Rattus norvegicus: one gene and its partner. The protein of the gene in region 1 interacts with the protein of each later gene in a pairwise test. Links are inferred from orthologs where the notes say so. Each region holds a gene or a part of one and is shown on either strand. Other genes may lie near its edges. The genes, in order: Plekha5 and Pdzd11.

The links.
Region 2: the proteins of Plekha5 (region 1) and Pdzd11 interact in binary tests that used the Homo sapiens proteins (3 or more experiments, as listed by UniProt). The two-hybrid records come from large-scale screens. The link is inferred for Rattus norvegicus from reciprocal best matches to the Homo sapiens genes PLEKHA5 and PDZD11.

What each region holds. Positions count from the first base shown.
Region 1 is NC_086022.1:175,209,587-175,225,055, reverse strand, and holds part of Plekha5 (pleckstrin homology domain-containing family A member 5), read right to left. Parts: intron 12,551-15,469; coding exon 12,449-12,550; intron 9,397-12,448; exon of another isoform or gene 9,368-9,396; coding exon 9,256-9,367; exon of another isoform or gene 9,231-9,255; intron 7,240-9,230; coding exon 7,193-7,239; intron 6,292-7,192; coding exon 6,103-6,291; intron 5,016-6,102; exon of another isoform or gene 4,788-5,015; coding exon 4,667-4,787; intron 4,645-4,666; exon of another isoform or gene 4,319-4,644; intron 3,288-4,318; coding exon 3,172-3,287; intron 726-3,171; coding exon 516-725; intron 1-515.
Region 2 is NC_086039.1:69,753,654-69,769,685, forward strand, and holds Pdzd11 (PDZ domain-containing protein 11), read right to left. Parts: upstream 8,145-16,032; 5' UTR 7,958-8,144; intron 7,514-7,957; 5' UTR 7,501-7,513; coding exon 7,414-7,500; intron 7,084-7,413; coding exon 7,000-7,083; intron 6,797-6,999; coding exon 6,740-6,796; intron 6,213-6,739; coding exon 6,114-6,212; intron 5,904-6,113; coding exon of another isoform or gene 5,889-5,903; coding exon 5,828-5,888; coding exon of another isoform or gene 5,754-5,827; exon of another isoform or gene 5,662-5,753; coding exon 5,627-5,661; 3' UTR 5,112-5,626; downstream 1-5,111. Other genes in the region: chromosome-associated kinesin KIF4A, read left to right, coding at 8,609-8,728, 8,846-8,960. UniProt on the Homo sapiens protein: Mediates docking of ADAM10 to zonula adherens by interacting with PLEKHA7 which is required for PLEKHA7 to interact with the ADAM10-binding protein TSPAN33.

The DNA of each region.
Region 1 (15,469 bases):
ACGAGTCAGAGATGGCTCAGTGGTAAGGGCACTGCTCACTGCCAGGCCCGACAACCTGAGTTCAATCCGTGGATAGCTGGAGGGAAAGAACCAGTTCCTACAGGTTGTCCTCTCCATGAGGGTGTTCTGGAGAGCAAACCCACACACATGTACAAAATAAAGAAACAGAAGGCCAGTCCTACCTACAGTCTTATCCTGGTCTGTGACGCATGTCATGTCTAACCTCGGTTGCATGGGACCACAGCACGAGAAGGCCACACAAGGCCTGCTTGCGCTACAGTACGAGCTCACGGAGGCCCCTAATGCCTCAGTGAGGTTGCAGTAAGGGCTGGGATATACTTCTGAGATAGAGAATTAATTAGCCTGTGACAATCCCCCGGCTAGTGGCCCTTCTGTCACTATTAGCTGGCTGCCTCTTTGTAGCATATTAAATAAGTCAGTTTTCTTAACAAACAAGGAGAAAAGATGTATCTACAGTAGTCAAAAGCAATTAAACCACAATTAAGTCAGTGTACCTGAGGAACTCTGGAAGGACTGTCCCTCACGCTTGAAGGACTTTGTGAGGGAGATGGGTCGGATGCACTGAGGACGTTCAGCCCCTTCTTCTTCTCCCTCAGGCAGGCCTGCTGGTGCCTCCTGATTCTCTCCAGCTGCTCTTCCACAGTCATCCGAGGCCGAGTACTTTCCGCCAGACAGAGCTGTTCCACGGCACTTCTCGGTCTTTCCTTAAAATGAAGAACAGGTCTGTGAGCACCGGGCACACAGCCCCTCAGTTGATAAAGGACTTGCATACATGCACTAGGCCCTGATTTGGATACCGGGCACCAAATAAACCCGAAGCAGGAAGATCAAGGACATCTTCAGCTATACAGAGTTTAAAGCAAGACTGGAGGGAATGAGATATTGTCTCAAAAACAAACAGATAAAAACTTCTAAAAATATCATATATAAAAAAATGTTAAGGTAAATTTACAAATTTGTGTCTTCAATACCAGTAAGGGAACAGCAGAAGCATTAGCCTGTGGCAGAGTGCTGGCCTCCTGGGCTCCAGCCTCAACCTGACAAAACCAACTCGGCCAGCCACAGGGTGTGATGACTGAGAATGAAACAGCCAAAGGGAGCTTCTCAGAGAAGCCTATGCACGCATTATCTGAGTTCTTCTTTTCTTTTTCTTTTTTTTTTTTCCGGAGCTGGGGACCGAACCCAGGGCCTTGTGCTTGCTAGGCAAGTGTTCTACCACTGAGCTAAATCCCCAACCCCATCTGAGTTCTTCTTCCTCTCGATCCACAGACTCCAAATCCGCACTACGTAACACCGTTAACCCGCTGACACTGGGTGCTGTTGGCAATATTTTTGGGGTATTGGGAACATAGCCAGGCAGTTCTTGGTGAGTTCAAGGTCAGCCTGGTCCACAGACTTCCAAGACAGCCAAGGCTACATAGGAAAAACTGTTTCGAAAACCAAACCAAACCAAAATAAAACTATCCTATTAAACACCAATGCTGCTTAAAAAGACAGTGCTGGACTGGAGAGCTGGCTCAGTTAGTAAAGTCCATGCATGAGAACCTGAGTATGGGTCCTCAGCACCACGAGAAAGTCAGGTACAGCAGCTCCTATCTAAATTCCTGTCCTTGGGTGAGGGAAGGTAGAGGGCAGACTTCTGGAGTTCACTGAGATACCCTGTAGGGTCTCTTTCCGCCTCTCCCCCGCTCCCCAAACACACGGTTGTCTGTTGTAGTAATGCCTTCAAGAGCAGAAGCAGGAATGCTGTAAGTTTGAGGTTAGTTTGAGGTTAGCCTGGGCTACATATTGATGCCTGTCTCACTAAACATAAATGAATAAATGGTATGGTTTCTCTGAATAAAGTTACCCCCTGTCTCTGAAACAGAAAACAGCACAAACCTCAGATTAGGAGAAATGGGGGAGGGAAGAAATGGGGCACAATACTTACACAATGGACATTTCTTCCATTTTAGAGGAATGTAATATTTTTCGTCACACATTACTATGAAGTGACTAGTCAAGAAAATACCCTATAATGTTTTGTGATTAACAATAAAAGTACAGAAATATTATTTCCTATAAAGATAGTTTTAGTTTTCATAGTTGTAAACTGTCACAAATAGGTAATTTTCATAGTTTTTCTATGTGTCTGTTTCATTTTATATAAACTGAAGGGCTTAGAAATATTAGTCACACTAGGAAAGAAAAATTTTAACACACTTTATATGACAGATTTTAAAGTTAAACACATTTTACAATCTGTGGGACAGAATTCAGATTTCTCCATTTCCTTGGCCTGAGTTGGCAGTAGTAGGGTACAGTGGTGTCTATAACACTTGGGAGGCTGAGGTAGGATCTACAGAAATGGATTTGTCTTAAGGAGAAAAACAGCTCTTCTCTCTTAATAACACTACTTTAGAACTATGACCACTACATTACACTACACTACAGTGATACACAGCTATTAGTTTTATCTTACAATTATTTTTATTTTGGGGGGTAAATTTTGAGACAGGGTCTTTAGTAGTCCAAGCTAGCCTCAAAGGCATTGTACACTGCAGTTTCCTCAGAAGTTAGGATCACAAACATGTGACACCATACCCTGGGCTATCTTAACTGTCTTTCCTGTTAGAAAGACATGGTGTCAGGCTGGAGAGATGGCTCAGTGGTTAGAGCACTGAGTGCTCTTTCAGAGGTCCTGAGTTCAAATCCCAGCAACCACATGGTGGCTCACAACCATCTGTAATGGGATCTGATGCCCTCTTCTGGTGTGTCTGAAGATAGCTATAGTGTACTTATATATAGTAAATAAGAAAATCTTAAAAAAAAAAAAAAAAGCACTGACTGCTCTTCCAGAGGTCCTGAGTTCAATTCCCAGCAAACACATGGTGGCTCACAACCATCTGTATTGGGATCCAATGCCCTCTTCTGGTGTGTCTGAAGACAGCTACAGTGTACTCATATAATAAATACACAAGTAAGTAAATTATTAAAAAACTAAAAAGACATGATGTTACTGTGTAGCCTGACTGTAGACTAAGGCTTAGGTTGGGGTTGACCAAAAGATACTGTGATTGGCTGTCCTGTGAGATAAAAGCAGAAAGATGACGATGTTCCTACTCCAACTGTACAAACAGCAAGCTCTCAGCAGCAGTGAGGAGGCTATACCGTTCTTAGCTCCACCATCTTCTTCGTCTTCCTCAAGGTCACATAGGAAGCTATCGTTGAGGACTCAGGTGTAGGTGACTTCGTTCTCAGAGGAACTCCAACTGGAAAGTGGGAACCTGAAAGTTAAAGCAGTGTTAAGTCCCACAAAGCACTTGTGATCTGATGTGGTGCCCTTGTGAACACTTGTGACAGGGTGTGGCACCTTGCTGAGCACTTGTGACACGGCGTGGTGCCCTACCGAGCATTACACTAGAGGCCTTGGCTGATTATGATTTCTAGTGAGTTGGGATTGGACCTAAGCCATGAACAGTGCTTTCCTGCAACCTGACATACAGGCTCCCAGGCACAGCAATGTGGTGGGATTGGAGAGGAGGCTTGGCAGTGTCTCCTGATGTAAGAGGCTTGGGGTCCCACTGTCAGTACCCATGTTAGGGAGCTCACAACCATCGGAACCTCTAGCTCTAAGAGGTCCCACTCCCTCTCCTGACCTCTGAGAGTACCCACACAAGGCATAGACTTAAAAAAAAAACACGCATAAAATCTCAAAAGGAATCGTTCATTATATTTTTAACTATGTATGTGTATGTAGGTTCTGGGTATTAAACCTAGGTCCTCTGGAAGAAAAGCAAGTGCTCCTAATCACTGGGCCATTACACCATTCCTTACGGTAACTCTATTGCCCACACTGTTCTGCCTCTTTTAATTTTAATTTTTTTAGAAACATATTTTTTAGCTGGGAAGTTGGGGTGCATGCCTTTAATCCCAAAACTTGGAGGCAGAGGCAGGTAGAACTCTTGAGTTCAAGGCCAGCGTATTCTTCAGAGCAAGTTCCAGAACAGCCAAGGCTGTGCACAGAGAAGCCCTGTCTCAGAAAACAAAACAAAACACATATATTTTTGATGTGTGTGTGTGTGTGTGTGTGTGTGTGTGTGTGGGTGTGGGTGTGTGTGTGCGCGCGCGCGCACCTGGTGCCATCAGAAGTTAGAAGAGATTTTGAATCTCCTGAAACTAGAGTTATAGATTGTTGAGACTGGAACCCAGGTCGTCCACAAGTTCTTTTAACCACTGAGCCAACTCTGCCCTCTTTTATTTATTTTGAGACAAAATCTTACTACACAGCCCTAGTAGGTCACAAACTCACAGCAATTCTCCTGTAGGTTGGTGTCAACATGGTTCAAAGTGTTTCTCTCTCTCCCTCTCCCTCTTGTGTGAGACAAAGTCTCATTATATAACTCTGGCTGCCTTGGAGTTCTGGAGTTTACCATGGAGATCAGGCTGGCCATGATGTCACAGAAGCTCACTGACTTCTGCCTCCTAAGTGCTAGGATAAACATATGCATCACCACATACAGCTCACAACATGTAGCTGGGAAACAAAAAGATCTCAAAGATTTCAAATAAGAGATTATAGATTTATGTACATACTGGTTGAAAGTATATACTAAAATATCTGAAAACAAAGACAGAAAACAGGTAAGATACTATAAATGCTGACCTCTAACAACCGGAGCTTCTGCCTCAGAAGCTGGCTCTGATTTTTCTTCTCCATTAGATTCATCAACTTCTGCCACTGTGGTCAACTCTGGCTCGCTCTTGTAGAGTCTATAATCTGGACCCTTGAATGGAAGACACACGATTGCAACAACAAATGCTGCCGTCACTGTACCCTGTCCCTCAGCTGGGCCCGAGGCTCAGCACTAGAAGCCTTGTCTGGCACCAGAAAGGTCCTTGGCTCAACTGAAAATAAGTCTGCCTTTAAAGGTGCAAACCGAAAGCCCCAGCTGGCTCCCTCTCACATGACGCACTCACACCACGTGGTACTGAGTACGAAGAATAATTCCAAGGTTGTTTCTTCTTTAGGAAGAGTTTTAATTAGTAAAACTTACTATTTTAAAATGAACAATATTCCTAGGTCAAAGTATGCTTTCCTGTGTGTAGGTATCCAAGGGCCTTGTATGCACTCTAAAACTTTATTTAATTTATGAATATTAGTGTTTGGCTTGCTCCCCACAGGTGTGCCTGGTGCCCGCAGAGGCTATACAAGGATGTCGGATTCCTGTCATAACAGTTGTACATTGCGAAGAACAATAAACTGAATCTGGGGTCCTGAGCCACCTCTCTAGATCCTCGTATAGCCCAGGCTTGCCTTGACCTCTTGACCCTTTTGACCTCCGGGGGCTATTCTCCCCCTCACCCTGCTTGAGGCAACTCAGTCTCGGTTGGTCAGGAATCATGGCTCTACCAAATCTGCTTCTCTGCTGGGATAACAGATGGGGCCACCATACCTGGCCCAAAGTCACATTTTTATCATGGTTAAATGAAGGTCTAAGAATAGTCACAGAACCCAATAACCTTCGTCTAGACATAAGTCTGAGTGAGCCAGGCTCATCCCAAACTACACTGCTGTCAGAGAATACAACATCCTCGCCATTAGCCAAGACCCATTCTCGTTCTCTCTTGGAAACAGGGACTTGCTTTATAGCTCAGGCTGGCCTTGACCTCACGACACACCTGCCCAACCCCAGGTCCCAAATCCTTCTTGCTTATGGTAACTGTCTTCTTTCCCATTGAAGCCTCATTTCCAGTCACAGGAAGCCCTAAACTGCCTGGTGCCCATCCATTTTGCTAATTCCCTATTTTCTGATCTAAACACTCTGTCTAACACGATGAAATGGCAAATTTAAAATATGGCTTGATCAAAATGTGCAAAGTAACCACTTTATGAAAAATGAAATATTAAAATTATGAGAACATTAAAAAATGAGAATGATAAAATGTAAATTGGAAAAACAAAGGGTAATGTTATATGCAAACAAAAAAAGCACTAGCTAAAAAATGGAGTTATAGCAAAAATAAGCTAGAGTATGAAATAAGTTAACTTAAAAAGTGAACAGATGTACATGATCATTGTGTGGCACGGCAGCCACTTACACAGTGAGATCCATTTCTTGGATATCCTTGAACTTGGTGACTCTTCTTTTCTTCAGGCAGATGCACGGGGCCCCTGCTATAACAGAGCAAGGAGCTGCTATCACTGGGCAGAGGGGGGATTATGGGAGGCTGCTCTGTAAAGTCATAAGACCGAGGAAGTGGAGGCCGAGGTGGGACTACTTCCTCTTCCTAAAGATTGTAGAAGTCACCTTATTTAGATGAGCAGATTGGATTAAGCATTTCTAAACTGTTTTCATTGCTACATTAACTTAGTTACTTTAGTATGATTAAAGGGACACTGCCAAGCCAAGAGTCTTATGTTGAAAAACCAAAACGATTTAGCATGATCGCCAATAATGGGTTTCAAAGGCCGTGTGCGCTTCCCCCTACACGTATGGGGCAGCTTTCCCTGCTCAGACAAGGTACTATGTGAACATACTGTACTGCACTGCACAACCAGAGGAAAAGAGCTGGCTAAATAAAAAAACAAAAAAAAACAAAAACCATATTATATATTTTTGACGCCTTTGAGAAGAAAAAGAAAATAATTTCCTTTTTGGCTTTTAAACAAAATTCAAGGGCACAGATTTTCTTCAGTTAGGTTGACAGTGTCTCTTTGTTATAATTTCTCTACGGCATGCATGACCAAGCTAACTTCATCTAGCAACCGTCCCTACAAACTTTATTAAACACAAGACGCCATGATTAATATTTAAATTACAAGGAAAAAGTACAATAATGTTAAAGTTTTAACAGACAAAAAGTAGTCACTAATTTGACTTTAAGGAAGAAAAATCATGTTAGAAGTCATTAAGACACCAAATTACTAAATCATCAACATTTTAAGATTAAAATAACCTAAATATATTTATATATTTAGAAAACACCCTTGTTTCTCCTGACACAGTCTTGCTATGCAGCCCAGGCAGACTTAACCTCCTCCTGCCTCAGCTTCCCAAGCTCTGGGGTTGGGGGGGGGGGCTCCACCCCAGGCAGGCTCAAACTACTGCTTTCAGGACTGGAGAAGGTGTAACTACTTTTAACCTCAGTACTAATACTTCAAGTGAGCTAGAAAACCAAGCTGACTTACCTCGCTTTTGTACTTAACTGCTGGGAAAGGCTTTGGTCCTGCCAGACCTATGGGAAATGAGAAAACATGGCTACTGATGTTAAGAACACTTTCTTTTCTTCTTCAAGACTGAGTTTCTCTGTGTAACTGCCCTCCCTGGCTGTCCTGGAACTTGCTCTAGACTAGGCTGGCCTGGAACTCACAGAGATTGTCCTGCCTCTGACTCCTGAGTGCTTGGATTAAAGGTGTGTGCCCCCACTGACCAGCAAGAACAACTTTCTAAACTCACAGAATGAATGATTTCAGTTAGCTTACTTTATTTAAAAAGTTTTAAATTACACGTATTTATTTTGTGGGCATGTGTATGCACATGTACCAAGGTGCACATGTGGAAGGCAGAGGACGACTTCCGGAAGCGGGTTCTATGCTTCCACCTTGAGGCTCAGGGATGCACTGAGCTGCCTCATTGGGTCGCCCTGGCTCTGCTTATTTTGACTGAAGCCTTCAGTGTACTCCTGTATTTGCTCAGCTGCTCTTTTTAGGATTATGGTGTGGAGTTTGCTCTTGCCTGACACTAACTGAGGCTGCTCTTGGTACAAGGCCATCCCCTGGCCTCAGCCTCCCTTGTGCTAGGACTATGGTGTTAGCTACCACACCTAGTGAAGCCGCCTTCTTCTTCTTCTTCTTCTTCTTCTTCTTCTTCTTCTTCTTCTTCTTCTTCTTCTTCTTCTTCTTCTTCTTCTTCTTCTTCTTCTTCTTCTTCTTCTTCTTCTTCTTCTTCTTCTTCTTCTTTCTTCTTCTTTCTTCTTCTTTCTTCTTCTTTCTTCTTCTTTCTTTTTTTGAGACGAGGTCTCTGTGTAGTCCTAGCTGCCTGGAACTTGCTCTGTACACCAGCTGGCCTCGAATTCAGGGATCTGCCTGTCTCTGCCTCCAGAGTGCTGGGATTAAAGGTGTGCACCACCACCACCATCTGGCCTAAATATTAGATTTAAAAAATGGTACTTGGGGCTGGAAAGATGGCTCTCGGGTTAAGAGCGCCAGCTGGGTACTCTAGCTGGAGGCTCACAACTGCCTTTAACAGCTCCAGGGGATCTGTTGCCCTCTTCTGGCCTCCACATGCGCAAGTTACACAGATGACCATGGAGGCAGAACAGCAATACACATAAAGTAAGTTTAAAAAAATGTCTTCAACACAAGAGACAAAAGGATATGGAACAGGTTTCCTCAGGCATTACTGGTGTACACAGTCGTCTTTTAGGAGACCAATCTGGCTGTAGTCTTTAGAATGGAGCACTTACTAACTCTTTATATTGTGGGCCTATGGAATGAGAGGCCTGTTACAGAGGGACTCAGACAGAAACAAACATAACTCCAGACACAGCACATGTTCACCAATGTGGAAAAGGAAAGTCTCAGGCAACTACTATTACATCTGGGACTGGAAAAGTCAACACGATCAGTCACCATGTTAACGGTAGCAGAAACTGCATTCATTGGTCAGAAACAAGAAAAGAGAAGTTGATGTTGACATATGTTGATACATTGTGTACATGTATGAAACTTCCAAAATATAAGTAAAAGATATTCCTAAAAGGGTGTGGGGGGGAAGCAGGCTGGTGAGATGGCTTAGAGGTTAGGAGTGCTCACTGGCTGCTCTTCCAGAGGGCCTGAGTTCAATTGCTAACAACCACATGGTGGCTCACAGCCATCTGTAAGGGATCTGATGCCCCCTTCTGGCCTGCAGATGTACAGGAGCAGAGCACTCTGACATTAAGTAAGTAAAATTCAAAGAAGTGTGTATAGGGGGACATGGAGGGTGAGGAAAAGAGGTGCAGGATCACTTCAGTTTTCCCCACACTGAGGAGATTCAGAAGGGAAGAGTCGCTGAAGCTAACGTACCTTCAGTAATCACATACACAGTTCAGATTTTGTGTGGCTGTGGCTGCCAGAATCACTGCTTTTAGTTTATTAACGTATGCACCCATTCAATGGCACAGTGACTGTTTTCTGAAGATAAATTCTATTCAGATGACAAATTTAATGATGTCTTTCCATCTAGACACAGCCATGCAAAGCTGACCCACCTGTTTCTGAAGAGCCTCTTTGCTGTTTGTGTTTGCTCAACCCCTCCATGACATCTTGAATTCTCCAAAGTTCTTTTTGAATCTGTGCCCGTTGAATTCCTGCCGACTCACTCTATCAGTAAAGATGGACAGATCACTGTGGTGCTTGAGTGAGAATTGTTTTCCATGGACTCATGCATTTGAACCCTGGGTTTCAGCTGGGGGCCTTGATGAAGGGAGTACACAATGACTAGGTGGGAGCTTTGATGGTTTACAGCTGGGCGCCTGCTCTCCCTCTTTCCCTCCGGAGTGTGGGCCAGCCTCCAGACATTCCTGCCATGCCTTTCTTGCCACAATGGGTCTGAGAGCCAGAAGAAACCCTTTCTCCACTAAGTTGCTTTTTGTTAGGGTTTTCTATGACAGCAACAGGGAAATAATTCAATGGCAAGTTATGAAAAAGTCAGCCTTATAAGTTCTACTAGTTATATAATAGAAAGTTAGAGCCACAGAGGCTCAAGTCCCTGGAATATTTAGGATTATGCATATGAGGCCACGATGTTGCAAAGGTGAGAGGGAAAGCAGAAGAGAAACCACTGGATCTCTCTGATATAAATGTGCTATTGCACACACCTGCCGTGTGCTTCGCCACTCTAGGAAGGGACGGGAGAGAAACCCTAATATTCCTAAGTAAAAACAAGCCCCCGAGAAGAGCTGAAAAGCCACAGAAGGTTCTTGATGGGCTCCCTCTTCCACAGATCCATGTTTCTGGTTTCACATACACAGTCAACACATACACAGATGGGCTGCAGGTTGGCGGCAGGCAGTGCGTTTGTCCAACATGCACAAGGCTCTCAGCACAACAGCAGCACTGGATTTAGGGAGCAGCAGCTACTGTGTCATCGTTGGCCACTTAAAGTGGCTGGCTGTTGTTGTTGCAGGTGTGGACTTGGGCAGTCCAGAGAGACTGGTGAGACTTATTTCTAAATGCCCAGGACCACCTCCTCTCAATCTTTGTGTACAGGGCACCCTATCATTTGGAGTTTCGTGATTCACTGAAAGGCATGGGATATGTCCTGAGGGTAAGGGTTCCTGCATTACTTCCTAAAGTCTAAAACATAAACAAAACACTAACAACCAAAGAAACACTTGACTGACAGGAGGAAGTAGGTATGTTTCCAATACAAACATATAATCATTACTCTATTCTGGTACATTCGTTTTCTTATTTAAATATTATGTAACATGCCTTTAGGTTAAAATCATACAGTTTCAAGACTCTGTTAGATCTTTATGAGCCTTTACAGAGAAATACATTTTTCTTGGGGCTGGAATGATAGCTTAGCTGCTCTTCCAGAGAGCACACATTGAGCTCACAACCACCTGTAACACTAACGTTCTCAAGCCTCTGAGGACCCACAGAAGTGACACACAGTGTCCTACTGTTCTATTGCTGTGAGGAAACACCAGATGGCCAAGGTCAAACACACTCTCTCTCTCTATATATATATATGTATATTTTTCTCTCCCCCGCCCAAAGACAGGGTTTTTCTGTGTAACCGTGGCTGACCCCAAATCCAAAACTCCGCATGCCTCTGCCTTCTGAGTGCTGGTATTAAAGGCAAAAACCACCGCTGCCCAGCTATTTTTTGGAAGGCAAACTCTCATAAAAAGAAAGTATGTGACTGGGGGCTTGCTTACAGTTGCAGATGGTTAACCCCTGATCATCATGGCTGGAAGCAAACGGGCACAGTGCTGAAGTAGTACCTGACAGCCACAGGCAGAGAGACTCTGAGCCTGCTGTGGGGTTTGAAAGCCCAAAGCCCACCCACAGTAACATGCCTCCTCCAACATGGAGGAGTAGGCGTGGCTTTGTTGGGAAGTGTGTTCCTGTTGTATGTGGGCTCTGGGCGCTGATGGCTCTCAGTGCTCAAGCTCTGCCCAGTGAGGAAGAGAGTCCCCTCCTGGCTGCCTGCAGATCAAGAACTGTCAGCATCTTCTCCAGCATTGAGTTGGCCTGCACTCTGCCTTGTTTCCTGCTATGATAATGGACTGAACCTCTGAAATGTAAGCCCCAGTTAAACCCCCAATTAAATGTTGTCCTTTCTAAGAGTTGTCTTGGTCATGGTCTCTTCACAGCAGTGAAACTCTAACTAAGAGAGGGCCTCACTAAGCAGCCCTGGCAGGCCTGGACCTCTGCTTGAAGTCAGGCTGTTTTCAAGCTCTGGCGCTTCCTGCTGAATTAATTCTCCTTGGTGTCTCCTTGCAGCAGCAATAGAGCAGTGAGACAATGTGTGCCACATATGTGGGAACCTCAGAGGCTTGAGGACGGTAATCAATCCCCTGGACTTAGTGTCATAAGTAGTTGTGCGCTATTCAATGTGGGGTCTCTGGAAGGGCAGCAAGTGCTCTTAAGTGCTCCAGCCCCAAGAAAAAATTATTAAAAATAAATATTATTTGGTAAATAGGTCTGGGGGGCACTTACAACTTTAGTATGCAAGAGCTACAAGTGGGATACTTACTAGGGATACTTACTAGAGGAAAACAAACCACTGCATACAATGAACAACTGCATTTCTGATTCCCGCGTGAAGAGTCTAAACCACATTTATAGGAAGTGCTGAGAGCTGAGCTGAGTACTGAGAGCACAGTGCTGAGAGCTAAGTACTGAGAGCACAGTGCTGAGAGCTGAGCTAAGTACTGAGAGAGCAGAGTGCTGAGAGGTGAGCTAAGTACTCAGAGTGCAGAGTGCTAAGTACTGAGAGAGCACAGTGCTGAGAGCTGAGCTAAGTACTCAGAGTGCTGAGAGGTGAGCTAAGTACTCAGAGAGGAGAGTGCTGAGAGGTGAGCTAAGTACTCAGAGTGCAGAGTGCTGAGAGGTGAGCTAAGTACTCAGAGTGCAGAGTGCTGAGAGTTGAGCTAGGTAGTGAGAGCACAGTACTGAGAGTGCAGAGTGCTGAGAGGTGAGCTAAGTACTGAGAGCACAGTACTGAGAGTGCAGAGTGCTGAGGGAGCTGCACTAAACACAAAGAAGCATGAGTGTTTCAGGGGTCATCAGGGTCCAGTAAGATGCAAAGGTTTTATGGAGGAGATGGGGAACGTTGTGGGAGAGTGAGAGTCCTGTCACTGAAGACACTCGACTGTGTATCTTTAGAGGCCAACAGCATGAACCTGTGAAGGCTACAGCGGTAGACTATAAGCAGAGTGCCTTTCCTACCTGCACTTCTCCAAGGCGATCAAGCTGATCTTGCATCTGGTTCCTGGTAACAGTCACATCATATTCTAACTTGTCATATTCTCTCCAGGCTCGTTCCAGCTCCTAAAATCGAGAATGTTCATCATTTTAAAGGGGACCCAAACTTTAACAGTATTATCAGTGTGCTTAAGACCTCCCAAGATTTCAGAAAACGATATGGTTTATTCTGGGCAAAATAGAAATATCTTTGGCAGTGCTGGACACTGAAGCCAAAAACCGTGGTAAGCGAGTGTTTTACTAAATTACATCTTCAGCACCAAAACAGGAACTGCTGTCGTCTACTCTCCTGCGCTGTTTCCTCTTTCTCAAGACTCAGTTCCTTCAGAGAGAGCATGTGGTGCTTTTTCAGGGTCAGCATTACTTTATTTAATGTCATGACCTCCTCACCTCCTCCAGGGCCAGCTATCTTTTTGTGCAAATGTCAGGATTTAATTTTTCTTTATGTCTGCCAAAAAAAAAATATATCCAAGGTATACATGTTGTTTATCAAATTTTGTGCTCTCAGGCTTGCTCCATTTCTTCGCTCCTGTGGCTGGTGGCCACATGGCTGTGTTTGGAGTCTCTTTGGGAGTCTGACGTCCCCACCTTGGTGTACGTCCTCAGCAGTGGGGGAGAAAGGTCCCACATTCTCCCCAGCATCTGCTGTCCTTTGTTTCCTTGTAGCCCATTCCCTAACCACTTAGCCATCTCTCCAGTCCATGTTCTTTAACACAATGTTTTAGATTTATTTATCTTCTGTGCATGACTGCTTGCTTGCTTGCAGGTGTGTGTGTGTGCACTGCCTGAGATGACCTCCACGTGGCTGCTGGGAACCAAACCAAACCCAAGTCCTCTGCAAGAGAAGCAGTGCTTTTAAAAGACAGGGTTCTCTGTGTAACTCTGGCTGTCCTGAGCTCTACGTGTATCAGGCTGGCCTTGAACTCACTGAGGCGCACCTGCTGGGATTACAGGTGTGGCCACTCTGCCTCGCAGGAAATGCTCTCAGCAGTGGAGCCACCTCTCCAGTTCCTGTGTTTTCTTGATCATCTCTCTTCTGACTCAAGGGAGAATCTCAAAGTAGTTATAATTTTTATCTTTAAGATGGCTAGGAATGTTGAAAATGCCTTTATTGGACATTTGCATTTCTTCTGTCCAGTTCTTCTGCCCACTGTTTGACCAGGTCCTTTCTTGTTTTGCTATTTGGTCTTTTTCTAATTCATTGTTTCTCTAAATCAAATAGAAAAAAGTCTCTTGTGAATTCAGACTGTAAACTCCAGTTGAATTTTAGAGCATGGTGGCACACATTAGTAATCCTTACATTTGGGAGGTGGAGGCAGGAGGATGAGGTCATCTTCACCTGTAAAGGGAGTTGGAGGCCACCTAGTGTAAGTGAGACCTTGTTTGAAATTGAAAATAATGAGCTGGAGAGATGGCTCAGTGGTTAAGAGCACTGGCTGTTCTTCCAGAGATCCAGAGTTCAAATCCCAGCAACCACATGGTGGCTCACAACCATCTGTAATGGGATCTGATGCCCTCTTCTGGTGTGCATGAAGACAGCTACAGTGTACTTATATATAATAAATAAATCTTAAAAAAAATAAAAATAACAAAAGGGTTTCTTTAAGTAAGTTTTATAATGAATTTATATCTATTTAAAAATTTTAAATCTATTTATTTTATTTAATTTTTTGGGGGCTGGAGAGATAGCTCATCCAGTAAAGAGCAACGGTTTTGTTCTTTCCAGAGGTCCTGAGTCCAATTTCCAGCAACAACATGGTGGCTCAGAGATCCGATACCCTCCTCTGGCATGCAGGTTTACATGCAGATAGAGCATTTATATACATAAAATAAATCTTAAAAAACAATTTATTTTTAGAAAGTTTTTTTTTTTTAAATTATCCGTTCATATGTGTGGTGCTTGCAGAGACCAGAAAAGGTGGTTACATCCCTTGGAGCTGCAGTCCCAGGCAGTTTTGAGCTGCCTGATGTGTGTACTAAACTAAACTGAAGTCCTCAGGAAGAGCAGTAAATGCTCTTAACCACTGGTCCTGCTCTCTAGCATTTGAGCTCTCTCTTGCTTCCCCCCCCCCCCACTCCCGCTCCCTCTCTCTGAGACAGGGTCTCCCCATGTAACACTGAAAACACAATCTGGGCATAGTAACACAGGACTGTGTGTGATCCCTGCTACTCAGAATTAGAAGCAAGGGCTATCTGGTACTCCACAAGACCTGGTTTAAAAACAGTTGTAGGAATATGGAGCTGTAGGGTGCTTGCTAGGTATATGCAAGGACTTGGGTCAATCCCAGTAGAAAAGGGAAGAAATAAAATGATGACGTTTGTCTGACTGTATGAATATTAGCTTCAATACTAACTTTAGCAGACTTTTATGTAAATATAGAAATCAGTTTCCTTTAATAAAATTTTCTCTAGCAATCTTTTATTCAGAAAGCAGAGGCAGGCGGAACTCTCTGAGTTCAAGACCAGTCTGGTCTACAGAGAGAGTTCCAGGACAGCCAGGGCTACACAGAGAGACCCGTCTCAAAACAAAACAATCTATGTATAGATTCACATTTTATTTATACACTTATTTATTTATTTGTATGTGTGCAATGTGGAGGTCAGAGGAGGTTTTTAAGGAGTCATTTATTTTCGTCATGTAGGTTTTGGGGTTCAAACCCAGATCACCGGGAAGCAAGTACCTTTGAAGGCTATGCCATCTTGCTCTGCTTTTTGCTGACCTGTTCATCTTGTAATTTATCAAAGGAACAGAACACAGAGACACAGGACCCCTGAAGGCTCTGGGAGGGGAAATGAGGCTAGAACCTCAAGGCACAGCAGGGGCCAGGCAAAGGTGGTGCTTAATTCTCTTGTGCAAGTGAAGTATTCAAAGCCACAGGGCACAATGGCCTAAACCTTCAACCCCTTCAATCTCTGCGTAGGAGGCAGAGGCAGGTGTGCTTAGGCAATTCCAAGTGGCCAAGCCTTTTAAGAAAGTTCTCACGA
Region 2 (16,032 bases), on another chromosome or scaffold:
TTTTTCTTAGCTTTTCTGGGGTAGGGAGTGTGAAAGCAGAGAAGCAAGTTTCACTCACTCTTAAAAGCCAGGCCCACTTTTCTGCTTAAGTGGTAATGGAAAACAGAAATAACTTTAGCCAAAAGTGCCTCCTTTGTTTAAGTGATGCCCATGGGGTCAGAATTCCTCATTTTTACTAGAAGTGGTTCCTAGCTGACATTTGATTCATCACCTTAACTGTGCTATGATCCTTACCATAAACTTTAGGTGCTGAAAACTGACTTGGAAACTTCTAGAATTCAGGCATTAAAACCCATTTCCCTGTCCATGGCTTAGATCATCTCTGCCTAATTTGGCAGACATTGTATTTGGCTTTCCATCGCAGCTATTTTCTTCCACCCCTAAGCTTCTGGTGGTTTGTTTTTGAGACAGTGGTTCTCAACCTGTGGGTCATAAACCCTGTGGGATTAGAAAGGCCCTTTCATAGGGGTTATCTAAACCATCAAAATACACAGATATTTACATTACAATTCATAACAATAATAAACTGCTATGAAGTAGTAACAAAAAATTTCATGGTTGAGGATCACCACATCAAGAACCATAGTAAACAGCTGCAACATTAGGAGGGTTGAGAACCACTTCTCTATGTATTCCTTGCTGTCCTGGAACTTGCTATGTAGACAAGTTTGGCCTGGAACTCATATTCTCCTGCCTCTGCCTCTCAAGTGCTGGAATCAAAGGTGTGCACCACTCTGCCTAGCCTGGTTTTAACACTTTCTTCTAACGACTAGACTTAAGAATAAAACAGCTTCCAGAAGCGCTGTCAGCTTCTTTTACCACATCTAAGTTACTGGGTCATGCAGAGTACCTATTTTCATTGATAACTAAAATCTATTTATACAGGACGGAGCTCTAAAACAGCTAGGATAATGTCAAAGGCTAGTCTAATTTTTGCTCCAGTCTTACTAAAATTTGTTTATGTGCAATGCTAAAAACATACCTGGTATAAAAGAAAGCATCTTCAACAAATGGTGCTGGGAAAACTGGATGTCCATGCAGAAGAACGAAATTAGACTCATCTCTCTCACCTCATAGAAAAACTAACTCCAAATGGATCAAAGACCTCAACATCAAACAGTACACTTCATGATACAGGTATAGGAAAAGACTTCCTGAATAAGACTTGATTTACCTAAGAGTCAAGGCCAACAATTGTCAAGTGGGACGTCATAAAACTAAAAAGCTTCTGTACAGCTAGAAAACCAATTAACCGTGTGAATAAGATACCCATAAATGGAGAAAATCATTGCCAACTATACACCTGACAGAGAATTAATATCCAGAATATACAAAGAACTGAAAAAAAAAACCCAGAACAATCAATCAAACAAAAATGACACATTCCAAAACTGGGCCTGGGACCTGAACAAGGGAGTTCCGAAAAGAATATACATACATACATACATACATACATATGAAATAACTCAAAAATGTTCATTGTCCCTAAAAATTAGGGATATGCAAATGCAAATCAAAACAGTGTTGACCTTTCACCTTACCCCAGTCAGAATGGCAAAGACCAACACTCAGCAAATGCTGGAGGGGACACAAGGAAAAGAGAACTCTCATTCCCTGTTGGTGGGATTGCAAGCTGATTCAACCACTCTGGAAATTACCATGGAGAATTCTCAAGAGGCTAAAAGTAAACCAACCATGGGACCCAGCTCATTGGCATCTGCTCAAAGGACTGGACATCCTGCTCTGAAGGTACTTGCTCAACCACGACCATTGCTTTGTTGCAATAGCTAGAATATGGAGATAATTTAAACACCCTCAACGGAGGAATGATAGTGTAACACATACACTATGTAACGTTTGTCAGCTCTAAAGAAAAATAACATCAAAAACTTTGCAGGTAAATGGATGGAACTAGAAAAGATATTGAATGAGTTACCCTAGAAATATAGATATACATTTAATAACAATCAGTGAGAGGAATTAATCAAAGAATATATAAGGGGTTGGGGATTTAGCTCAGTGGTTGAGCACTTGCCTAGCAAGCGCAAGGTCCTGGGTTCAGTCCCCAGCTCCGGAAAAAAAAAAGAATATAAAAAAGGAAATCTGAAAGAGGTCAAGGAGGGGTGTACAGGAGGGTTTAGGAGAAAAGGGGGGAAGAAACGGTATATTATGCTCCCCAAAAATAAATTTGAAGAATGATATATGTACCCCCTTATCTCTGTGCACTACATGCACACCTGGTGAGTGCATAGGGCAAAAGGTATGGGATTCCTTGGAACTGCAGTTACTGGTCTTGAGCCATTATGTAGATATTGGGAATCGAACCTGGGTTGTCTGGAAGAGCCACTAGTGCTTTTAACTGCTGAAGACTCTCTCAGCCCCATGGCTGAGATCACACCATACTGATCACACTTCTTACTTAAGTTGCTTTTTGTGTTTAGTAATTACTGTGTGTACATGTATGTGAACACATGTGCCATGACATACATGTGGATATGTGTGTGTGTGTGAGGATAACTTGCAGAAGTCTGTTCTCCTATCAGAGGGCTCTGAGGCCATCAGGCCTGGCAGTAAATATCTTAACCTGCTGAGCCATGTCATTGGCCCATATTGTTTTAAAATCTATTAACTGGGAGTTGTTGGATCTCCTTTCTCAGTTTCCTGGACTGCAAGCCACCTGAATCATTAAATATTTAGCCTGAAATCCAACTCAGCCTATCACTCTACTGGGCCTTGAACCTCATCCTAGAGCAGTGGTTCTCAATCTTCCTAATGCTGCAATTCCCTTAATACAGTTCCTCATGTTGTGTTGACCCTGAACAATAAAATTACTGTTGTTGCTACTTTCTAACTGTAATTTTGCTGTTATGAATCGTAAACATCTCATATGCAGATGATCTTAAGTGACCCTTTTGAAAAAGTTATTAGGCCTCCCCAAAGGGTCTCAAACCACAGGTTGATAATTGCTTTCCTAGAGCAAGATCTTTATGAGAAACTTCTATGGGTCTCTTCCTAGCTCATCGTTAGGAATCTCCAAGGTCTTATGTGGGTAACCACAGCTTGGTGTATTCTTGACTACAATGGCTACGTGTTATCTAGATGAAAGATAGTTCTCCTTTCTATCCACTGGCTCTATTTCCACCCCTGCACTTTTTCTGCAATGTTCTCTGGACCTCAGATGGGGTGCAAAACTTTTAAATGCTGCTAATAGAATGACTGTTGAATTAATAAATTATGGTAAGGGAAAATCTTAACTGGAGGCTACAGAAATGTCAACATCAGTAAAATCCTTATTGTACAAATATGAGGACATGAGTTTGAATCCCATAGTGCACTTAAAATGCCCGATGCCTGTCATGGTGACACACACCTTTAATCCCAGCAGCAGCAGGTGGGTCTCTCCAACTTCAAGGCCAGCCTGGTCTACACAGCAAGTTCCAGGGAGAGCCAGAGCTATAAAATATTCTATTTCAAAAAAAAATTTAAAAAAGGAATTATGGATGTAGTAGCACACATCTTCTGTAGTCCACACACTGGGGAGGAAGAGAGAAGAAGGAACTCTGGGCCTTGCCAGACAGTCTGGCCAAATAAAAGATTCAGGTTCAGTAAGTTGATATACTTTCCAAAAATAAGAGAAAAAGTGACTGAAGAAAGGTAGCCAATGTCAACTTTGGACCTTCATAAAGTAAATCCTGCTACCCGTGCTGGGTGCAGCGAGTGATAGATACCTGTATCCTCTGAACTTCAGAATCTGAAGCAGGAAGATCACAAGTCCAAGACCTGCTTGAATTATGTACCAAGAACCTACCTCAGGAAAAAAAGTTAATAAAAACTTGATAACCATGGAAATAGTCTTGACTTTGTCAGTGGACACAGCTATTAGTTTTGTGAAATATCCAAGTTTTTCTTTCTCTGATGGCCACTGGGGGTCAGCAGAGCAAATAAGAGGACAGAATTCCCAGGAAGACTTAAGCTAATTTTATACCTCCGGCTCTGCTCAGAAGGTACAGTGCCAACAATGTAATAGAACTGAGTCTCTAGCAATGCCTTTAGTACAGCTGGGGTAGGATTCATGGGAAGAGCCAGTTTCCACATTTCATCCATTTGAAAATTTATCTTGCTTATTTAAAAAGGTAGATCCCAGTCTGGGTGGGGGTGGGAGTGGTGACTCACACCTTTGATCCCAGTACTCAGGAGGCAGAGGCAAGCGATCTCTGTGAATTCAAGGCCAGCCTGGTCTACAGAGTGAGTTCCAAAACAGTCAAGGTTACACAGAGAAACACTGTCTCAAAAACAAAACAGGTAAGTAAACAAATAAGGTAGAGTCCTAGGTTCTCTCTCAAACCAAAAGAATCACTCTCCAGAAGGAATTAAGAGATTTAGTTCAGCTCCCAGGATTGTGTTAGCTTGCCACACCTTACAGGCAAAAGACAACAGACAACTTTGGGAATCTGTTCTCTCCTTTCAGCATGGGGATCCTGGAGAGCAAACTCAGATTGTCAGGCTTGGAAGAAGGCATCCTTTAAGCCCAGAGAGTCATCTTGGTGGCTCTCCCTAGGATCTTTTAAGTCAAATGTTGGGCTTTCATTGTAGCAGCGCCTTCTTCAGAGGAAAAAAAAAACCTTTCCATTATGACTGGGTATTTTAATGTCAGTCAATGGAGGGAACATTACATACCATATACATGCAGGTATGTAATGTTCAGTCACTAAGGATCTAGGACGACAGAAAGTTATTCACAGGTAGGGTCAGAAAAAGGAAGAAGTTGGCAGTTACCACTAATGAAACTACAAATGGGAAGTTAGGAACCACTTTCCTACTGCTGCTTGTAAAAAATAATCTATGCCACTTCCTTGGCTTAATTCCAGGTCAGAGAATGTGGGAAAGAATACATTAACACCATCCTGCTGCAGCACAAAATCTAACACTCCTGGGTAAGGGGCAGCTTTCCCTAAGGCTCTTGACTCTAGGGATCCCTTGTGGATTCTATGACTAGTGTTTTTTAAGCTCCCAAGTTGTCTGGCCAGATAGAGTTGTAAAGTGAATATGACATTGCTGTCCTTCCCACAGGTTGGTTGTTGTATTTGTTTTCCTCAATGGCATTTTATATTCAAGCAGCATCACTCAAGCCACGTTTATTCAGTATTATGTTTTTTACTATGGGTGGGGGCGGGGATGAGAAGGAAGTGTCTCCTTGGAGTCTCTGAAGTGTATGGGACTCCAAGGTACAAAGACTCGATGGCATGGCCAGGCAAATCAGATGGAAGGTCCCCATGATTCTCTTTTCTACTGATTTCTACAAATAAAACAATAAGCTGTATACGTGACCAATCTAAGGTACCTGATAAATGCCAGTTGTTTTCTAGTTGGCTTTCCTCCACAGGCTACAGACATCTAGATATCACTATCTTTCTCCCTTTCCAGAATGAAACTCACCTAGCAAACTAGGGAACTCCTAGCACAGTACAGTTAATACGTAATACAGCTGGTAAGCTGTCTCCCCATCCTCCCCATCCATAAACCAGGAGGGTGTGGAGAATAGAATTTCCTGACTTCTCCAACTTCTCAGAGGTCTACCCAGCTTGTCCTGGCAGATTCCACAGGTAGGGCTGTGGGCTGCAAGTCTCTAGTGCACAGTCCGTTCTTTTTGGCGATGATAATCTGGGGTAAGAAAGAACACAGCACATTATTTTCAGGATGAGCTCCCAACTTCCCATTCCCAATTTCTTGGGCTTGCCATCATCCGTCCGTATTTAAAAGAGTTCTCTTACCTGCAGCCCTGCCATATAAGGAAGAAAAAGAAAAAGATAAAAAGAAAGTGCCTTACTGTAGGGAAAGAAGCGCACACGCATGCTGATTTCTCGGGCTGTCTTCAGGATTTCCACAGCCTGGAAGACACACAGCTGCTTGTACAAATGAAGAGCTATTACCCAGGACAGAGATATGACACAGTAATGGAATGTGCCACCTCAAACATCTAGGTCACTGGTAACTGCTCTCTTCTGGTACATTTCCCTTGAACAGATGCTTTCTTCCAGATTAGGCTAATCTGGTCCAACCTGTCCTACCTGAGACGGCTTCCTGGATGACTATAGCCCATGCACTGTGCTTACTTTGCTGTGCTCGATATCTTGGAAGTCCACATCATTCACAGCTAGAACTTGGTCCCCTTCTTGAAGTCCTGCTCGATGTGCATCCGAGTCTGGAATCACCTGTTTGTGAAGGGGTAACACATGTACTTGAGATGGCATGAATTAGGAAGCTGCAGGGGGAATTCAGTGCTGTTCAAATTGTTAATTTTGTGATGCCACAGGGAGATTAGTTTTTTTTTAAATTAGGTTTAGAATCTTTTTTTTTCAAACACAGGGTTTTTCTTTTGTGGCCTTGGAATTCACTCTGTAGATCAGACTGGCCTTGAACTCATAGAGACTGGCCTACCTCTGCCTCCTATGTGCTGGGACTAAAGTCATATGCCACCATTGTCCAGATTGACTTTTCAAATTACTACCTACTCCTAATCTTCCTGCTTCTGCCTCTAGAGTTCTTGGAGTACCAACACATGCCCCACACCACACTGGGCCCAAGTTCAAGTCTGAGAAGAAAAGGCTAAATCCCCATTATGTGTATTCTATGACTCCACCGGGTCATCCATTTTTTTAATCTGTTGGGCCACCAGTGCATTTTAATATAACAAAGTCAATAGCCATACAGCCTGTCATACACACACATTCACACAGACCTTGGAGATGAAGATGCCTAGCTGGGAGGCCTTTCCTCCTCGGATGTTAAACCCCAACTGAAAGACAAGAACACAGGATGCAGACTCAGCATGGACACAAGAACGAGGACATCTGTGTACTCAGAAGAAAAGGAGATGCTATGGAAGTGTCATCTCCACACTTCTAGTCACCTACTTCCCAAACCACATCCATGCCCCAACCATAGCCATCTTCTGGCATGGCCAAAATGTAACTGGAATAAGAGCCTCTATAAGTTTACCTGAGCACCAGGAGGCTTCTTCAATGTGACAATTCGGGGCAGAAACTGGGTCAACTCATTGTTGTAGTCTGGGTGGTATACTCTCTGCAAGATACAGCAATCTTAACCATCTTATTCCCAGTCTCACGTGGTACATCTACCTCCTTTTAGAGTATCAATAAATCAGATACATGTCAGGAAGTGGGAAATCCCTATCCCTTTTTTATTGACAGGATAGAAGCTAAGGTTTCAGAATTCAGCAGAGTGAAGGGCTCTAGCAGGGTGGTTCTACAAGAAGTTGCCAGTGGGTCACTGTTGCTCAAAATTCACCTAAGATTCAGTCTCCGTTGAGCTTCATAACCCTGCTACTTATCTTTCATAGACCTCATGCTTGGGGATTGGTATTTCTTCTTCAGGAATGCAGATGGCTCCCACCTCATGAGGAGGAATCCATGCTGGAGGGTTTTCATAGGCAGGCAGGAAAACCACTGGGTAGTCATCATAAGGAATCCGGTTGTCCATTTCAGGCAAAGCCCTGAAAAGGAAGAATCAAATGAAACAAAAATGATTTTAAAAAGGACCAAGTGCTCTACGTTTCAGAAAGCATCCCCTCCAGGGGCCATTTGTTTATGGGACTAGCCCACAAGTAGGTGTCAAGATTGAATGAGGGCATGGGGTGGGAAAAGAGGCAACAAAACAAAATAATGAAAACAAAACAAAAAACCGAAAAAAAAAAAACAAAAAAAAATCTAATTTTTTAAGCACTCTAATGGCATGTTTGCATTTCTTACAATTCAACAAAAAGAGGCTTTCAACCTAGAGAATAGGAAATGAGAATCACATCTATAAAGATCTACTTTAAAACAGAAAGGGAGTGCCAATAACTATCCCACAGGGATTGGAGCCAGGCACATTGCCAGTCTCTAGAGGTGATTAGTTAACGTGGCGTCCACAGACGAGTTCTGTCAACAAGGGATACCTTCCAGATCCAGGTCCTGCAACCCGCCCGTACCCCGCACTCGCGACCACTTAATTCAGCGCCACCTTACCGGTAAGTAGGCCTCCCTTAGCGACAGCCAATTCCGCCTTGGAACCGGAAGCGGATGCTTGCTACCACCCAGCACGGGCGGAGCTTGCTTTGGGCGAGCCAGCTCTCTAGCCTCCTCGGGCGTCACGTTGTGCGTGCTCACGTCCGTGTACTTTTCACAGGCTGTACGCGCTCCGATTGGCTGGCGCCTCTGGGATCAATTTGAAACTTGGCGGTTAAAGCTCCGGTTGGAACAGGGCGCCAGGGAAGATCGGGGAAGGGACGTTTAGTTTGGTGAGTTACCGGGCACCACGTTAGCTCAAATTCCGTGCTTCGTAGCACTTCAGGGCTTGGGGTCACGGTCGCTGTCTCGCTGGAGTTTCTTTATTTCAGACACCATTTTCGCCTTGCAGTATTGGGACTGACAAACCATTAGGCGGTGGCCAAGAGTGACAGGACACAGTGATCCTGCTGGGAGGGAGAGTGCATCAGCGAGTTCCGAGTCTCCTACGGCCTGAGAAGGGCCTTTCTACTCCTGCCAACCTCGGAAGGTTCCTGGGAGAGCTGGCTTCACTTGGCCAGGACACCTGCTGAGCTGGTACCATGAAAGAAGAGGTGAAGGGAATTCCTGTAAGAGTGGCACTGCGTTGTCGCCCCCTTGTCTCTAAAGAGATTAATGAGGGCTGCCAGACGTGCCTTTCTTTTGTGCCCGGAGAGCCTCAGGTGAGTAGTCAAGTCTAGAGTGGCTCTCTCCACAGCTGAGGCTGAAAGGAGGGAGGGGCGTGGTCAGGCATTGTTTTTTTAATCCTTCCCCTATCCCTTCTCTCTTGCCTTTTGCAGGTGGTGGTTGGTACTGATAAATCATTTACCTACGATTTTGTGTTTGACCCCTCTACTGAACAGGAAGAGGTCTTTAATACAGCAGTAGCTCCACTCATAAAAGGCGTGTTTAAAGGTGAGGCTGTTCACTGGGCAGGTTTTTTGAGCATGTATTATGGGTGGGTCATAAAGGCACTACAAATAGAGGAATGGATGAAATAGCTTTTAAAAACAGCCTACAGACTAGTACCATTTGTGAAAGTCTTTCTACTCTTGAAGCTAGTCTCAGACTGTCCTGTTTATCTTTGACCTAGGCGTATGTTGCTGTTTTGGGGGACCTCACAGAGCACCTTTTATCTCAGTGCTTGGGAGGCAAAGACATCTCTGTGAGTTTGAGGCCCGCCTGATCTACATAGCGGGTGGCAAAACATCCAGGGGTACCTAGTGAGATCCTGTCTCACAAACAAACAGAAAACAAAGCAAAAATAAAGAATATGTGGTTTTTGTTTGGTGCTGATTGTGTACTAACCTGCGGAAGTGCCAAGAATATTCAGATATGTAACATAGTCTCTGGGCCCTTGAGTTCAAAGTCCACAGGGTCAGAAAACAGGTAGATGACTGTGGGAACTGGGATCCGGGAGGGTGGTATTGAAGCCTCTGTCACCATCCACCAGTGCTTTACCCAGGTGCCACGGCACCCATAGATGACTACATAAGTGAGTTTGGATACATAGAAAAAGTTTAAATTTTTACAGCTATTTAAAAAAATTGGGGGTGATTCTTTTCTTTCTTTTTTTTTTCCTCTTTATTTCCCCAGACAGTATTGCATATAGCTCAGGTTGGTCTTAAACTCACAATGTAGCCAAAAATGGATGTGATGGCCCATGTGTTTAATCCTATTACCTAGGAGGCAAGCAGAAAGGAATCTCTGTAAGTTCAAGAGCAGCCTGGTCTGGTCTACACATCTAGGGTTCCAGGCCAGCCAGGGCTACATAGTGAGACTCTGTTAACTGTGTAGTGTGTATGGAGTATGAATTGTACCTATAGAAGCTATGGAAGTGTTACTGTTTTCCTACAACATAGTATGACGATTGAAGGATGCCACTAAACTCCATTAGGGGAGTTTGGGTTAATTTCCAAGCATATGGAACTTTTGAGATAGGTATTGAAAGATGAGTTGAATTTTTTTAGATAGATTTTTTTCCTCCCTAAAGTCATTGAGTATTATGGCCAGCTAGTAATCTTTACTGCAGAAGCTAAGCTTTTAAGGGCAGGAATCTAAAGCCAGCAGGACCTGAGAGATATTTACTTGTCATATTAGTAGTTTACAGTGGTTATTAATTTTTTTTATTGAGAATTTCATACATACATATAAGTGGGTTTTTTTTTTTATCAAATCTCTTATTCCCTCCTGTCCACTTCTTCGGCCTATATATTCTTTTTTTCTTAAACCCAGAGTCAATTCAGTGTTACCTGTATGTCAGAACATCTTATAGTGCATGGGTAACTTCTTGGTCACATCTCTGAAGAAAACTGATTGTCCTTCCTTTGGTAGGCATCCATTGCTAGTAGTTGGTCAGCTAGGTGTGGGACTTCATGAGTGTAACCCTGTGTTTGTTTCTGCTGGGATTTTTGGCAGCCTCAATCTTGTACAGAGCTCAGTAGTTATTCACTTAAAACTTAGAACCATAACAAATTAGTGAATGTGTTGCATATAATCTAGTTGAACTTTTCACCCAAATTCTTTCTAGTAATTAAATGAACTTTTGGTGTCTTGTTTGTGCCAGGGTCTCATTTAGTCCAGACTGATCTCAAATTAGACATGTAACAGAAGCTGACCCTTAACTCCTGATCCTTCTGTGTTTACCCTTAACATGTTCTGGTTATACAAATGCATCACCACGACCATCTCCAGTGCCTGTTTAAATTTATTCTTTGACAAAGAAGTCCCAGAATCATAGAGTGACCTACTTGACAGTTGCTTTCTTTTAGACAGCTCAGTTTTTTCTTCTGCAGTTACTATTGTGTGTATGTATCACCATTTGTGGGGGAGGCTCAGAGGACAACTTGCAGGAATTGGTCCTTTCCTACCACATGTATCCCCCTGGCCTCCACAGGTACCTGCATGCATACACTGAACCTAAAATCCCACCCAGAACACTTAAGCCAGGCAGTGGGGGTGCACACCTTTAATCCCAGCGCTCGGGAGGTAGAGCGGCAGTTGGATTTCTGAGTTCAAGGTCATCCTGGTCTATGGATCCAGTTCTAGGACAGCCAGGGCTACACAGAAAATCTCTTGTCTTGAAAAAAAACCAAAAAAACCAAGACAACTTAAAAATGATGTCATGTCTCAGGGGATATTGAATATCTTTGTGTATGTGTAAAGTGTGTGCACAGGTTTGTACAGATATCCTTGCTCGTGCATGTCTAGTAGAGGTCAGAGGTCAACATTAAGTGTTTCCCTCTATTGCTCTCTATCTTGTGTTTTGAGACAAGGAGCTCTTGCTGAACTATTTCAGCTAGACTGACAGTTCAAAGACCTCAGGATGCCCCTGTGTCTTCCCTCTCAGTACTGGGGCTGCACAGATCCATGCTGTCATATCCAGTTTTTATATGGGCACTAGAGATCTGAACTCATGTTCTCGTGCTTGCACAGCAAGCAGTTAACCCACTCGGACATCTCCCCAGACCCAACCTTTATCTAGTTATGTCTTTTCTATTTATCTGTTTTGTGTGACTCGTGTGTGCCGGTGTATCACATTGTACATGTGCTGGTCAGCGCATAACTTGTAGGCATCAGTTCTAACACTCTATGGGTTCCAAGGGCCAGAGACAGGATGCTGGGTTTGGCCTTAAGTGCTGTCACCCACCAGGCCATCTTATCAGAGCCTTTCGTAAGACAAGGCTCATGTCTTAAGAGCTTTCCCGGAAAGCTGGCTTTCCTGGAACTCACTAAATAACCAAAGATGACCTTGAACTTCCGGTTTCCCTGTGACCTCCCCAGTGTTAGGATTCCAGATGTACACCATCCTCCTTTGGTTTGATTTGGTTTGGTTTGATTTATGCTGTATTGGAAAGCAAACTCATGGCTTTGTACATGCTAAACAAGTACTCTGCCAAATGAGGTATAGTTCCAGACTAAATACCTTGTTGTAAAACTTGAAAACACTATAGTTATAGAAATGTTGCAAAAACAGCATAAGGGAGCCATTTATTTCTGGAATCATTGGTAATACGTTATTGACCTTATGACCCCTGAATACTTTAGCATATATTTCCAATAAGAGTCATCATAACCTGTCCTAGCCATCAAAATCACAGAAGCTGCAGTGTCGCATTACTACCTTCTAATCCTCAGCCCTATTCAAATGTTGCCAGTTCTTTCAGTAATGCCCTTTATAGCAAAGGATTTAGTTCAAAAATCGTGTTATGATTAGCTGTGCCCTTTTTTAGTCCCCAAGTCTAAAATAAAATAGTTCTTGAACCTTTGTTTTTTTTTTTTTAAAGCTTTCGTTGTTTTTGATACTTGAAGATTACAAGGCACTTATGTCTTTCCGTTTGCTTTTATCTAATGTTATGATAAAATTTGAGCTTTTTAAGCAGAAACACCACAGACATGCTTTTGTATTCTCATTGATTCCTGTCAGGCAGTATATGATTTCGATTTGTCCTATTACTGTAATTGTTAATATATCAATAATCTGTCTAAGGTATAAACCGACCAAATCTTTCCTGTAAAGTTAATTTTTTCTTTTTGCATAATTGAAAAAGCATTATATAGTTCTAATTCTCTTCTACTTTTTTCTTTCGCATGATTTTGTCTAATTCTCATCTAGTTTGCTATTTCTCCCTCCACTCTCTTCATTCCATTCTATTAATAATTAAATTGCTCCCTGCTTCCTTTCCCCCTCCTACTCCTACCACGCCCTGCCCCTTCCCCCTTAAGTCCATGGCCTCTTTTTAATTCCTGTTACATATAACACTCACACACTCAACTGCACGGTATATGATAGAACCTGTGGGGTCTACTCAGTGTTGCTCATGTGTACATGATTTCAGGGCTGACTACTTGGTATGGATAGCAATTAAGGGGGCTGTCCCTGGAGAAGACAGATGCTTCCTCACTCAGCAGTTGTTAGTTGCCTGTAGTTCTCTGTGGAAGGGTCCCTTCCGTGTTAGCATGTCACTTGCTGGTGTTCTTCTTCTGGTCTTGTTTAGGCCGCCATACTGTTGAGGTACTGTGGGTGAAACCTTGTCATTTCTAGGCGACACAGACAGCGCAGATTTCCTGGTCCTGTAGCTCTCACAGTCTTTCTGCTCCTTGTCTGCCATGTTCCCTGGCTCTTAGGTGCAGGAGTTGTGTTGTCCATTAGAGGTGAGCATCCCTTTAGCAGGTGTTCTCTGCATTTTGACCAGTTATGATTTTCTGTAATGCCCCATCTGTTGCAAAGAGAAGCTTCTTTGAAGCGTGAGTGGTACTCTTCTCTATGGGTATAAGGATAAGTATTTAGAGTGCAGTTAGGAAGTATACTGGTTTAGTAAAATAGTATAGTAGGTTCTATTCTCTGATCTATCCCTGAGTAGTCGGCTAGGTTTCCAGTGTCAGGCATGATTTCCTTCCTGTTGAAAGGACCTTTGTCCAATTAGAAAACAGTTGGTTACCACCCAGATATGAGTGTCACCTTTAGGGATATCTTGCTAAACTCTTGTGGTCCATAGGCTTCAGAGCTAGGCACGACTGTTGGTTATTTCCCTCCCTTGGCACTTTATATAATACCTGCAGGTCTATGAAAGTTAGTTCCTGGGGAAGAGGTTTTCAGGTCAAATCTATCTCAGATCCTCCAAGTCCAGTGTGTAAAATGCATGTTGTCTTCAGTAACTGGTACTTAACCTTCAGCCTTCGGAATACAGCAGTAGTAACCTGTGCTATTTGGGGAATCTCTTGTCTTCCTGACCGACAACTTGAAAGGAAGTGTCTTATGTTCACTTCTAGACTTTTTTGTTTGTTTTTTGGTTTTTTTTTTTTTAAGATAATCTAGAGCTGTTTAGGGGAAAGGGAACATGTATATACATTTCTATGTATTATATGTAATTTTAGGTAAATAAAAATACCATGATTCCTTAGGGATTTTTCAGACATCCTTAGTGTTATTTGTCCCTGCACCCTCCCTGTCCCGTATTGAACCCCGCTAGTCCCTCTGCAGTTAGAGCCCTCAACATTGTTCCGTTTCCCCCTTCAAATCATGTGTGTCCTGCTATTGGTTTTGAAAACACAGTCTCATTGAGTGCATGCCTCCTTTGAACTCATTCTGTAATGCAGTAGAGACTAGTTGTGAGCTCCTAAGTCCTGTGCTTGCCCGAGCCACCATGGCCAGGTACCATTTTCTTTAGCCATTTCTGAAATAATAATTTTTTGGATTTCACTGTCAGTTCAGTTTCCTCAAATGTGTACCTCCACAGCCTAGTAAAGGTGTCAATAGTTGTACTTCTGTAGTCTTTTTTATCTATTTTTAATTGTTTGTGTATCTGTCTTGTCTGTCTAACTGCCTGTCCATCTGTCTGCTTGCTTCCTTGCCTTTCTCTCTGTATAAGTATGTGCTCCGAGTCCAGGTGCCCATAGAGGCCAGAAGTGTCAGATTCTCCTGGAGCTGGTGGTGAGTCACCTGAAGTGGGTACTTAGGAGTTGAACTCAGGTCCTCTGGAAGAATAGTACATGCTCTTAACCACTGAGCCATCCCTCCAGCCCCTTTTCTTATGTTCTTAACCTGGGAAACGTGAGAATTAAACTGTATTATTTGAAGACAGTGGCAAGAATAAAGTGATTCTAATATACATGTTTTTAACACCATCCTTATTTGTAAGAACAAATCTGGTCTTTTTATATTCAGATCAATAGTATACTTTTATACTCTGGACTCCTGGTACCAGAGTCCAGAGTGTTTTAGACCCAGTACTAAAACCTGGTTTTCCAAGATGTTGCAGCTTATACCTATCTGCAGTATTATAGAAAGTTATAAAATGTTATTTCCTTGCCCCTATGACAGTCATATCAGATTATAACAGCAATATATTTCAATTTATAGGTTAAGAGCTTTCATTTAGAGCGGAAAGCTCTCCTCTCCTCTCCTCTCCTCTCCTCTCCTCTCCTCTCCTTTCCTCTCCTCTCCTCTCCTCTCCTCTCCTCTCCTCTCCTCTCCTCTCCTCTCTTTTGACAGGGTCTGGCTTGCCTGGAACTTGCTGTGTAGATCAAGCTGCCTTTAAAACCCACACACATCTTCATGCTTTTGCCTCTCAGATGCTGAGATTCAAGATAGTGAACTACCAAACCAGCAAGTTCTTTTTAAAACTTCATAATCATCACTTAAAGTAATATGTTTTTTCAAATTTTAAAGATTTTTTTCATTTTCTATTTTTAGGTCTTTTTTGTTTGTCTGCTTGCTTTATTCCCATAGTTGTGAGCCACTATGTGGGTGCTGGGAATCAAACCTAAAGCCTCTGGAAGAGCAGCCAATGCTGAGCCATCTCTCTAACCCTGAGATATTTCTTGTCAGGCTCCAAAATGATGTGGGTAAATAGTAGATGACAGCTTTAACAAAAATACAGTGATTTTCTTTTTTAAAAAAGAGTTTCCTTTAGACTGTCTGATTTTCTTTTAAGGGATGGCTTTCTGAGGTATTTATTAAATGTTGAAGCACATTTGAATTTATAGTTTCTTTAGTCCCTACTTTATAATCAATTAGCGAGTTATAATAATTAAAGTGTGAATAGCCCATCTGTTGTCTATTTCTCTCTCTTTAAAGATATTGCTATAGTTATAGCTAGAATTATCTGTCTCCAGTTCCAATCAAAACTTAAGGCTTATGGGATAAAATGAAATGCACCCATAGTAATTCATATTCTCCAGCAAGACAAAATATAAAAATAGATATAGAAAATAACACTTTTCACTTGAACTAAGCTCAAACAGATATAGATCTTACCTGTCTTTCTGCAAACATTACAAATTATATGGACTGTAATAGAAAACACTGTCACTATTCCATGGTGCATCCAATGTAATAATTTATAAAATGTGTGCTGGAGCAATGGCTCAGAGATTAAGGAGCCCTGACTGCTCTTCCAGAGGTCATGAGTTCAATTCCCAGCAACCACATGGTGGCTCACAACCATCTGTAATGAGATCTGATGCCCTCTTCTGGTGTGTCTAA